Linked DNA regions of Neodiprion lecontei. The protein of the gene in region 2 interacts with the protein of the main gene of each other region in a pairwise test. Links are inferred from orthologs where the notes say so. Each region holds a gene or a part of one and is shown on either strand. Other genes may lie near its edges. The genes, in order: cdc42 homolog and unconventional myosin-IXa.

Region 1 (5,580 bases), on a different chromosome or scaffold from region 2:
ATATTTCACGAAACTTGTATTATATATTTTTTGAAATTTCGCGTAGTTTTTTAATAACGATTGAATATAGTAACGATTTTAAAGTGCGACTAGGATCGAAATAAGGTATGCAGGAAATGAATAAAATGTGGTAAGACTGAAATTCTCTGTGAGAAAATGCTTCGTAATATTTAAAATATTGGAGTATGATAATTAGTGAAAATAGTGTTATTGGTTTTCTCGTAAATGCACGCGTCGATCACGTAACCGTGTAATTGTGAGTAAGTTATAAGAAATCGATAAGACGAGCGACACTGAATTCAACATTTCTGATTGAACAAAGTTATACAATGCAGATAATATACACGCTGTGTTAGATATAATATACATGATTTATTTAACTTACAAGATACCAGCACGGACGTACGAGGGAAGGGCATTCATAATACACACGCGCGATGTATTAATCGACAACTGAATCGTAGGTGTGTCTCGTCAGTCGTTTTCATTGTGATTCGAATAACGACAAACGCGACAATCATCGTGGCTTTCAACGTCAAGTGACAAGTGGACATTAACATTGTCACCGGCCGCAAAATTGCTCTATCGGAATCATAACGGAAACGGTAAAATATTCTCTCTGGCGTCCGTGCGCTTTTTGATCAAGAAAAAAACGGATTTACTTAATTGTTTCTTTCATTATTAATTTATTAAAAAATTCACATTAGTAACTTATTATTAAAAATGCCTTATTGATTACTCAATATTAGAGTGGCGTGGCTCCCTATTTAGAACTCATGGAGGATTACTCCCGTCCAGGATGGCTGTTTCATTTCATGTTTATGTGTTTATTGTTTTTGTTTTTATAGGATCATGAAAGGTATTCACATTTAATACCGTAGTCCATCCTAAACAAAAAGTAATTCATTATCTCACGAAGGATATTAATCTATCTTACCTGAGTATGGTTACCCTCAAATATATATCTAAATATTATGTATAATGTATAATGCGTGTTTGTAAACTAATTGCACTATAAACGTTCAGTGTTACATTTTTTTTCATTTTTTTCTATTTCTTTTTATAAATCGGAAAATACTGTCTCTTCCTCAATCTGAAGCAGCCTGACGAATACAAATCAGGCAATGCAGGGGGCCCGTCTTTGTCTCAAATAATTTGATAATCCTAGCCAACATCTGTTCCCCGTGAAAATTATTTCCATCGTTTTTCCGGAGAACCATTTTATTCCTAACATTCATATACTCATTCTTGATAAACTTGTGAATTATGATGCCAAGACGTATTTAGCAAGATTGCTGTTCATTTTGAATACATAAATACCTAAGCGTCTGGTTCCTTGGAATATCTTATGCCAATTGATCAATGGATACAGCATATATTGTTCAAGGCCTGTACCATTCTATTTTGATAGTATATTTAAAACTTACAATGTCGGGCACTATCAGCCGTGCTCGCGTAGTAGTGGGATGGAGATTAAAAATATCCTCCCTACAAAAGGACACACTTTCTTCTCCTAACAGGTTCTGGAGGTTCAAGTGCAGCCAGGATTGCTTCATCGAACACGTTCTTCAATCCTTTCTGTTTATGTACAATGTGAATATTTTAATTTTACAAATACATGAGGATTGACGAGATTTTGTTATGAATGTTAAATGACCCATACTTGCGTTAGAGCACTGCACTCGACGTATTTCACAGCCTTAAGCTCCTTGGCCAACTTTTCTCCTTGTTCTCCTGTTATCGGTTTTTGTTTATTTTTTGCAAGCTTTTCAATAGTTACTGCATCATCTCGCAAATCGATTTGAGTTCCGACCAATAGGAAAGGCGTCTTCTGACAGTGGTGCGTTATCTCTGGTACCCACTGATAAGACATAAGTACATGTTATTATTTTCAAATACACTCACCGGACAATATCAATAAAACGTATATTCTTGTCTATAAGTATTCGAGTATCGTGTAATTCACAAACACTGGAGAGCCTCGACAAAACTGCAAGTAGCGACAACATTTTATATGAATTATAAAGCCGATAATATTCGATACTGAGCAACAATCTGAGAAGTCTTTTTGCATCATAGTTGGGGTAAATTTTGATTTAAATGTCACTGCAAACATTTCAGGGTTGGCTACCGGTTCTGTTTTTTCGCATCAACTAAAAGCTCGCTATCACTCTGATATTCGTAAGAAGAGAATGAAAAAAAAATTCATACCTTCTCTTTAACATTTTCAAATGAAGATGGGGAGACGACTGAAAAACAAACTAGAAACACATCCGTTTGAGGATAACTCAGTGGTCGTAGTCTGTCATAATCCTCTTGGCCTGTAAAATAATGAAATTTGTGTTCGTATAAGCATTGAATAATCGGGAAAGTGATTTAGTGGCATAATTGAACATCGGTATTATAAATTTCTAACAAAAACTTGCTTTGAACAATATTTCAGTATCATTTTATCCATGGTAATCTATAGAACTTTTTGTAAACAAAGTTTCTCAGCAATTATCGATTTGTTTCCAATTGTGAATCTTCAAATCTAGTCAAAAATTTATCCTTCCAAAATCTGCCGTGTGAAGAACGATTCGGAACAAAAATTTCAAAATGCACTACAATTAACCAATAGAGAAATGAAGTTTGAAGTAATACTCACCAGCGGTATCAAATAATCCCAAGGTATATGGTTCTCCACCGATCATAACCGTAACTGCATAATTATCGAATACAGTTGGCACATACTCGGAGGGGAATTTATTTGTGGTGTACGAAATAAGGAGGCAAGTTTTACCCACGGCTCCATCACCGACCACAACACATTTTATTGTCTGCATTTTTGTCTTCTCGCTCTTTGCTACCTGTCAATAGACCGAATCATGAACTGGAATTTGGAATAGATAAGATATAAGTCTACTAAACCGTGCTTACAGGCAGTTTAGGAATTCGAAGGGTGATTCAGAGATGAAATAAAGGCAGAAATAAAAAACAAAGGGGGTGGTGAATAGACAAACAGTGTAGGGGAAAAAATAAAATAAAATAGGTTTCCGCGTGACAGGACTGACTAATGCTTGAAATTGCCACACAGCTGAGGAGGACGTACAATCATGTGAGCAACTCTCCTATACGTGAGATAGTAATAGAGTTAGGGGATAGCAATGCGATTGTCACGAATTATTGCATGCGTATTCATTACGAGCTGTAATTAAGTATAGAAATGAGAGGGAGATTGCGGAGTAGTTCCGGGAGGCTGAGACGCCGCTTGTGTACATCGGTTAAACCGAGGTTCTAATTGGAGAAAAATACGCATATGCATGGTGAATGTGTTTTTAGAGTGGCCATTTTGCTGGGTACAGGTACATTGTCAATTCCGGTCAACGAACCTAGGCTTGTACCGAAGTCAGATGTAACCAACGTCTCGTATGCAGTTGTGATATTGTTACGCTACACGCCCGACACTGCGGGGCGGTTGATATTTGATCAAGTAAATCCGAAAAACTCACAAGTAACTGGGCGTCGACAACACTTCACTGTCAGAAGACTATGTTCTTCATAAGAGAAGAAACTTTGGAAGAGAAATGGGCGCCGATCGGGTTTGCCAACTTCGCGCCATCTGGTGGGGTTACTGTGAATCAGGCGCGATGACGTCATCGGCTAACTGTGGCGAGAATAGCAAAGACCGTACATCCGCTCGCATCATCGTTTGCAGAAAAGGCCTGTGCTTGTAATAGAAAACGATTATCATTCGACCTAGTAGTTACAGTTTCAGCGTTGACTGAAGAATATAAAGACGGATACCCCTGGGTAAATTTTTGTGACCAGTTTTCGGCGGGCAAGTGGGCCCAGGTGGGCCTGGGAGCTTAGGAGGGTTTGTTCTATCGACTCTACCTAACGGGCTCGCACCGACATTTGTAGCAGTCAAAGTTGTGTCGGTATGGAAGCTTGAGAATGAGTCGGTACAAAGTGAGTACGTAAGACTACTTGTCGACTGCAACTTAGAATTGTCGATCAATTCGATCGTCCCCGTCCTACCACTTCCTACTACCCCACCACTACCAGCGCCTACCACTTCCTACCACCCCCTACCACCTCCTACCAGCGCCTACCACTTCCTACCATTTCCGAACACCTCCAACCACCTCCGACCACCTTCGTCCCCCTACTCCTCCATGTATTCTATAACATTAATATTCATAATTATCCCAACAACTTTTCATTTGCTCTCTCAATCTTGAATTTTCGTAGGCATACAATCGAAACGCTGTTTTAGCATGTCGCAAGTGAAGTATTTACGTAAGTAAGTACTGGCTTGGGCTTACCACTGCGAAGACTGTGTTACTCGGAAGGTGAATGCAGCCAGCATCATGTCGAAATCGGTAACTCTCTGATGTTCTGCAATAAGCTCTCAACTCTACCGTTGGAACATCTCAGGGGGTGCAAGCGCACGACGATATAAGGTTGTCACACCAAAGCCTATTAGGGGTAACTGTGTTTATATTCTTCAGTCAACGTAGGAGCTGTTTGGAGGTGGTTGGCGGTATCTTTACATTCTTCAGTCAACGGATTCAGTAAATGGTGGAAACGACCGATTCCTGCGGTTTTTTTATCGAATTAAGCTGGGGAAAGAAACTGTTACCAATTACAATCTAGTCGGTAGATGAAGGAAATTGGAGGTTGCCGGAGCCGCTGGATTGTCGGTCACTCAAATTTGTCCAGCAGCTTCAAACTGTTGAACGAAATAACCATGTAGAGTCGTATTAATATGAATTATAAATCATAACGCGTAGATAATTGAAAGAACAGACACTACTGGACGGAGCACTCTGTACCTTAAGTTGCTTGCAGCTAGGCGTATATTTTTCTTACCATCAGAGTATGCTGACGTTTGATTGCCTTCAATAAGGCGCACGGTAATTGATAAATTTTGTCTCATGATAGATATTTCAAATTCTTTTCCTCGCCAATTGTACAATGTATCATAGTTAGATGTCGGTAGTCAAGACTTATTGGTGTCCAATTTCTAACTTTGATTGGTGTGTGCAATCGTATTAATTTCTCATTATTCCTGAAACACATCGTGAATTTAATCCAAACAATTAAAACCGATTTATGTTTTGTTTTTGATAAGATTTTTGTAAAACATTTCACTTACCGAGATTGATGGAGATGCTAAAAATATTTCATCCTACAGTTTTTCTACAAGCATATAGCTTCTAATTTAAACATTAGCATTTCCCTCAATTTATGTATTTTTTCATGAAGTACGTGCACAATTATCCGTCGAAGTGATGAAGTTTAATTGATGTTCATTTATTCATTTTTTTATTTTTTTATTTAGTATTGATACAGACGATCGATGACTCTGGATAATGTTTCATTTTTTGATCAAGGGGATGACAACACGTTAAATAATGATTAATATTATCTAATAGATCACTACTTTCAAGATTAAGTTGTAATACTAGATCAGGGAACGTGAAATAAATTAAATAGGCATCGCGTGGTAATGTATAATTGTCTTTTTAAGATGCAAAACATATTTTATGAGACGACACAACATGCATTAATATATCAAGCCATAATATTTTGAGA
Region 2 (4,853 bases):
TGAGGATCCATGGGAAATCTGCTGTCAGACCACAAGTAGTCTGACTGCTTTTTGCGTAAATAAAACCTATAGTATTCCTGCTGAGCTGCATTTTTTGGCCATAACAACATCAGGGCTACTGGACACTCCGTTGGTCCGAGTCTTCTCTCTTTGCACACCTGCCCTACAGAATTGCTAACAACTTCGGCTAACTCATAGCTGTTAGCGTGGGTTGCGTCGACAAATCCTAACCGCTCGATTATACATTCTACAATCTCTGCGGATGATGTTTGTTTCGTGGCTTTGATTGAGAGTGCTTCGTATTCAGCGCTCCACTGGCCCACGAATACTTGCACTACTCCTGATCCGTTGCTGTCCATTTTTTAACCCTGAATGAATAATGATAATAGTTAATTTAACAATAGCAACAATTAGGTACATGCTAAGAACAAAGACAAACTTGTCTTTGTGTCGTGAAAATTCTATTTAACTCTGAGTTCAAAGAAAACTTAACTACATCCAGCTTTTTGTTTGCATAAGGAAAATTTGAACTTTGAATACTCATACCTATACAACAAATGCTTATAAATATTACAAATATTAGTTTTTTTCTAATCAATATGAACGCATGATTGGCTTTACCTTGCTCTTACTAGGGTTAATAAGATTGTCCTATGTCGTCTATAAAACACTTCAGAACCACTTCATCTCCTCTCTGCAACGTTGTATCCGCCTGACGTTGGTAGTGTTTAAAATACTTTTTACACATCTTGTTAATAAGCTTCTGATACTTTAGAAATATCGGTTAATTGTGTTTTTTTATGACTTTAAATATTGTTTTACTCAAACACTTGAAAGTTACACTCTTTGACAGTTCTTCGCTGTACCCCATTAACCGCATTCACATAGTAATCTGGTGACCAACCTTTTATTTCAAATCATGAAAGTATATTAATTAGTATGTTACTTTATGTAGCATTAGTTTGTCATTTTAATATACTGATTATTATAAATGTTGTTCTAGTTTTGTTCGTCGTGATACAATTAGAAACTATTTTGCCAAGTTGAATAGTTGTTTCAGTGATATGATTAAATATTGTAAGCTTTTTTGAAACTGTTTCAATATACAGTTGCAAATCAATGGAGGAGTCCCTTAACTAATAAAATACACATAAATTAACAGTCTCAATTATGAACGGAAACCAAAATATACTCTACATCTGTACAATAACAACTAAATTCCTTCAAATACTGGTTTGATCACTCATTTGTAATAATTTGTATGATATAATTCAACTCTCGCCTGCTACTATCGCTGCTGAAATTGAGACTGTTACACAATTTTTCCAATGGACTAGAAAAATCTATAATTTCTTGGAGTTAGGCAGCACTATTATGCCTTGAGTATTATGTGTTTGATGGTTATTAAATTCAATCAATAGTACGATCATTTGAGTTACATTTCACATGATGAATAGAACGAATCATTCCATAACGCAAAATCAGCGCTCCTGAAACAAAAAATAAAACACAGATATTAATTAATGATTTCTGCGAAAAATCATGTGATAGAAAATGGATGTTTACTTTCTTTGAACCTTAATCAATATGAACAAGGATGTTATAAGAAAATCTATTTACTTAGGGTAAGGAACTGAAAACAATCAGTACTTGCTTATCAGTAAAAAATGATGATAATGAATACCCGATAACATTCTGCAATTTTATTCTTTCAATAGTACAACAGAACTAGATGCCCGTATCTGATTTTAATCTATGTATGTACATACATGTGCATTGAGAATTTTCTAGTACCACGTAACATGATACCATCTAAAAGGATCATTCTCCGAAAAATTTATTTTTGATACATGACTATAATGTAAGCATTAGTCGTATCTCAATCAAAATGTGAATAATTGTAAATAATAAAAATATATTCAATTTAAGTTCTTCGTTTCGGAGTACATTGTACTGTGTTATCACTGCTCACAGCAAGAATGTATCATACACAATTCGTAAGCGTTGTGAATCATGTAGTAGTGTTTAACGTTGAATAACGAATTTCAACAATTTTGGCATTCAATAAAAGATATTTTGAGCCTGGTGTTGGCATATTTTTAAACAATCTTTTAACTCCTCGATATTCATGCGAATTACTTTGGATCCACGCCAAAATGTATTTCAGACAGAATCTTTGGTAAAAATATCTTGTTGTTCTCGTTTGATTCGAATATTAAATAAAACGATGAATTCGTGGTAGGAAAAAAGTGTTAAAAAAGACCGAATGGATTGTTGTATTGCAACAAAATCTAATTCTGACTTGATGCATACGTATTTTTTCTCAACCATGGCTGTAGAGATAATTAATTGTCTGAGGATGTGTTGAGTATGATCAAATGAACGAAATGATTCAGTAAAGCGATCAGTCATCAGTCATGTATGATGTGGATATTGCAACGTGAATATTTTGAGAGAGATCATGACTAGTTGGAGATAATTAGAGTATTGTGAGGATAAGCCGAGATCGAACAATAATTTCGACGTAAGAAACGTCACGTTCACGTCGAAACGGGTTATCAAATAGGTCAATTCTGACCAGCGCACTTTTCGAATCATAAACGTGTTGGGCTAGATCGGGGCTTGTCAAACTCTGTAAGCTGGCCTACGATCTTATTTTGGAACCAGGCTGGCTACGGCGATCATTAACTTCCGCGGGTGTCGGGAACCGATCGGCGGTATAGACTAAACATAACAGGATGCACCAATACCTTACGGCTTGCCGAGGATTCGATGGGCTTTGCGGTGAAATTCCTAGTGACAGAAACACTGCTGTACGCGGAACAACAAAAATCTCGGCTCTCACGCATGCTTCTTAAGCCCCGTGTGTTGCCGTCCGGGTCTGTCCCCTTCGCTCGAGGCACAAATACACTTCACCGTTATAGCGTTTAGCGATACTGTTCACTAGTCAGAAGTTTCCACAGTCACCGACCGAACACTACTTACTACGAACGAGATAAAATCAGATGGATAGTTATTCCAGGACAATGATTAAGCCACTAGGCCCTTGCCCAGTTATCGTCCTTCAACTCGTCGTCGGATCCTGCGTCTCGATATATCCACCATTTCGATTTTTACGATCACGTGGGTCTCCCGGCGGGTTTCTATTTGCTGGCGACCCAGCCACGTGACCGTCAGGACGGTATCGATAGAGAAGAGAAATGCCTTCGGAAGCGCTCATAGCTGAGAAGCCGAAAACCTACATTCCCCCACCACCGTGATTGGCGCTCGGCCCGCTAATTTCGTTCATGAGTTACTACCAGAATGAAAAAAAGCCCGGACAGACTGTCACTAGTCATGAAATCAGTATAAAATTTTGTATATTAAAATGATTATCTCGATGCACGAGCAGGAACCGATAACCGAGAGTTCGCGGTGGACAAACAATCTACAATCTAGTCTTTTGCGCCTGCAGGGTGCACAACTAAGCATGCATTCGCGTACAGCGGGTGTAAGACATTTATCAAGTGAAATTTTCAAAAAATCGGAGTTCTTTTTCCCTTTGCATCATTTGATAGGATAGAGAATTATAAACATGCTGTTCAATTTTTGGGCCGTAATTCGAATAATTTCGGTCGCTACAGCCTTTTTTAGGAAAAGTGATTTGAGCAGAAGCGTAAGACCTGGCGTGGAACAAAGGAACAAATCGACATTCCATTGCAACCGATACTGAATTCGCAAGTACTTCGGCGGCAAAAGAGTGCAAAAAAAATCCGGATTCCGATGTGAAAATTGACAAAAGTTTCAGCTATGGTTTAATTGAATATGGTTTAATGTTCGGCGCTCTTCAACAGTTGCTCAAGTGCAAGTAGTGTAATGGTGATGTTAAATTTTACGCAAAATTGATTCGCGGATTCGGTCTTCAGCTTTGTGTTGACTGTTTGTAGTCAGATCGGACCAAGATCAATTCTTGTCCGCTGATAAAGAATGCATACGAAATCAACCGTCGATAGTGTTTTGTAATGCAAATTACAAGGCAGAGCGCATCTCAACTGCTAACCACCGAAACTCTCTGGACTTTAAAGAAGCCAGAACAGCTCGTTAAAATGAAATTGCTGCTGATAACAAACAATTTTGAGAAAGCGGAAGGGACATTGTATGGATCTGGCATCGCCGATTGATCAGAAGTAAACAATTTATATGAAAATTCGGCTTTCGAAACTTTAAACGCGTTTTTCTCGACGCGTGGTTTTTCAAAACGGTGTACACTCTCAACGGAAGAGATTTCAAGCTATGCGTCTCAAATTTGGACAAACATTCATCACGACATTCTTTATCTTGCTATGGAAGCTTTTTGTTTTAGAAACATATTTTTTTAATAGAAAAACTGCGGAAAAACTAAGCTAAATTCAATGATTTTGCTTCAAACCACCGACATTTTGTCAATTTTAATTGAAACAAACATCCTCCATAACAAGCTTTCATACTGATTAATAACCTTTTTAAAAATTTAGCTTCAGATAATATTTACGGCCACAACCGTATACACCGTGGACTTATTTCTTTTCCAAGTGATTTGCAACAATGTAAAATAAATGTAAAAAAATTACAATTAACATTTAAAAATTCATTTTCTGTTCTTCGTGAATGCTTTGATCTGACATAAAAAAATCAGATTGATTGACGTATTTCAACTTTCAAAAAAAAAAATCGCGGAAAGCAGCTATTTTTCGACCCGTTACACTGAGATAACCCCTTGACTGCGTTAAAAAAAACAGAGGACACAATTACTTGCGTATGGGGATATTTATACATTAGATTTATTTCGATACGTTTACATGATAACCTTCATCTTTTTATTTTTTTTACCGCAA

Evidence for each region.
Region 1: the proteins of unconventional myosin-IXa (region 2) and cdc42 homolog interact in a two-hybrid assay, tested with the Homo sapiens proteins (3 studies listed by BioGRID and IntAct). The link is inferred for Neodiprion lecontei from reciprocal best matches to the Homo sapiens genes MYO9A and CDC42.

The regions. Positions count from the first base shown.
Region 1 is NC_060263.1:36,016,541-36,022,120, forward strand, and holds cdc42 homolog, read right to left. Parts: upstream 3,581-5,580; 5' UTR 3,492-3,580; exon of another isoform or gene 3,372-3,491; intron 2,873-3,371; exon of another isoform or gene 2,850-2,872; 5' UTR 2,826-2,849; coding exon 2,648-2,825; intron 2,322-2,647; coding exon 2,212-2,321; intron 1,862-2,211; coding exon 1,664-1,861; intron 1,579-1,663; coding exon 1,489-1,578; 3' UTR 1,428-1,488; exon of another isoform or gene 888-1,427; 3' UTR 667-887; downstream 1-666. UniProt on the Homo sapiens protein: Plasma membrane-associated small GTPase which cycles between an active GTP-bound and an inactive GDP-bound state. In active state binds to a variety of effector proteins to regulate cellular responses. Involved in epithelial cell polarization processes.
Region 2 is NC_060265.1:23,645,359-23,650,211, forward strand, and holds the start of unconventional myosin-IXa, read right to left. Parts: upstream 3,126-4,853; 5' UTR 2,751-3,125; intron 1,491-2,750; 5' UTR 1,440-1,490; exon of another isoform or gene 905-1,439; 5' UTR 622-904; intron 369-621; 5' UTR 360-368; coding exon 1-359. UniProt on the Homo sapiens protein: Myosins are actin-based motor molecules with ATPase activity. Unconventional myosins serve in intracellular movements. Regulates Rho by stimulating it's GTPase activity in neurons.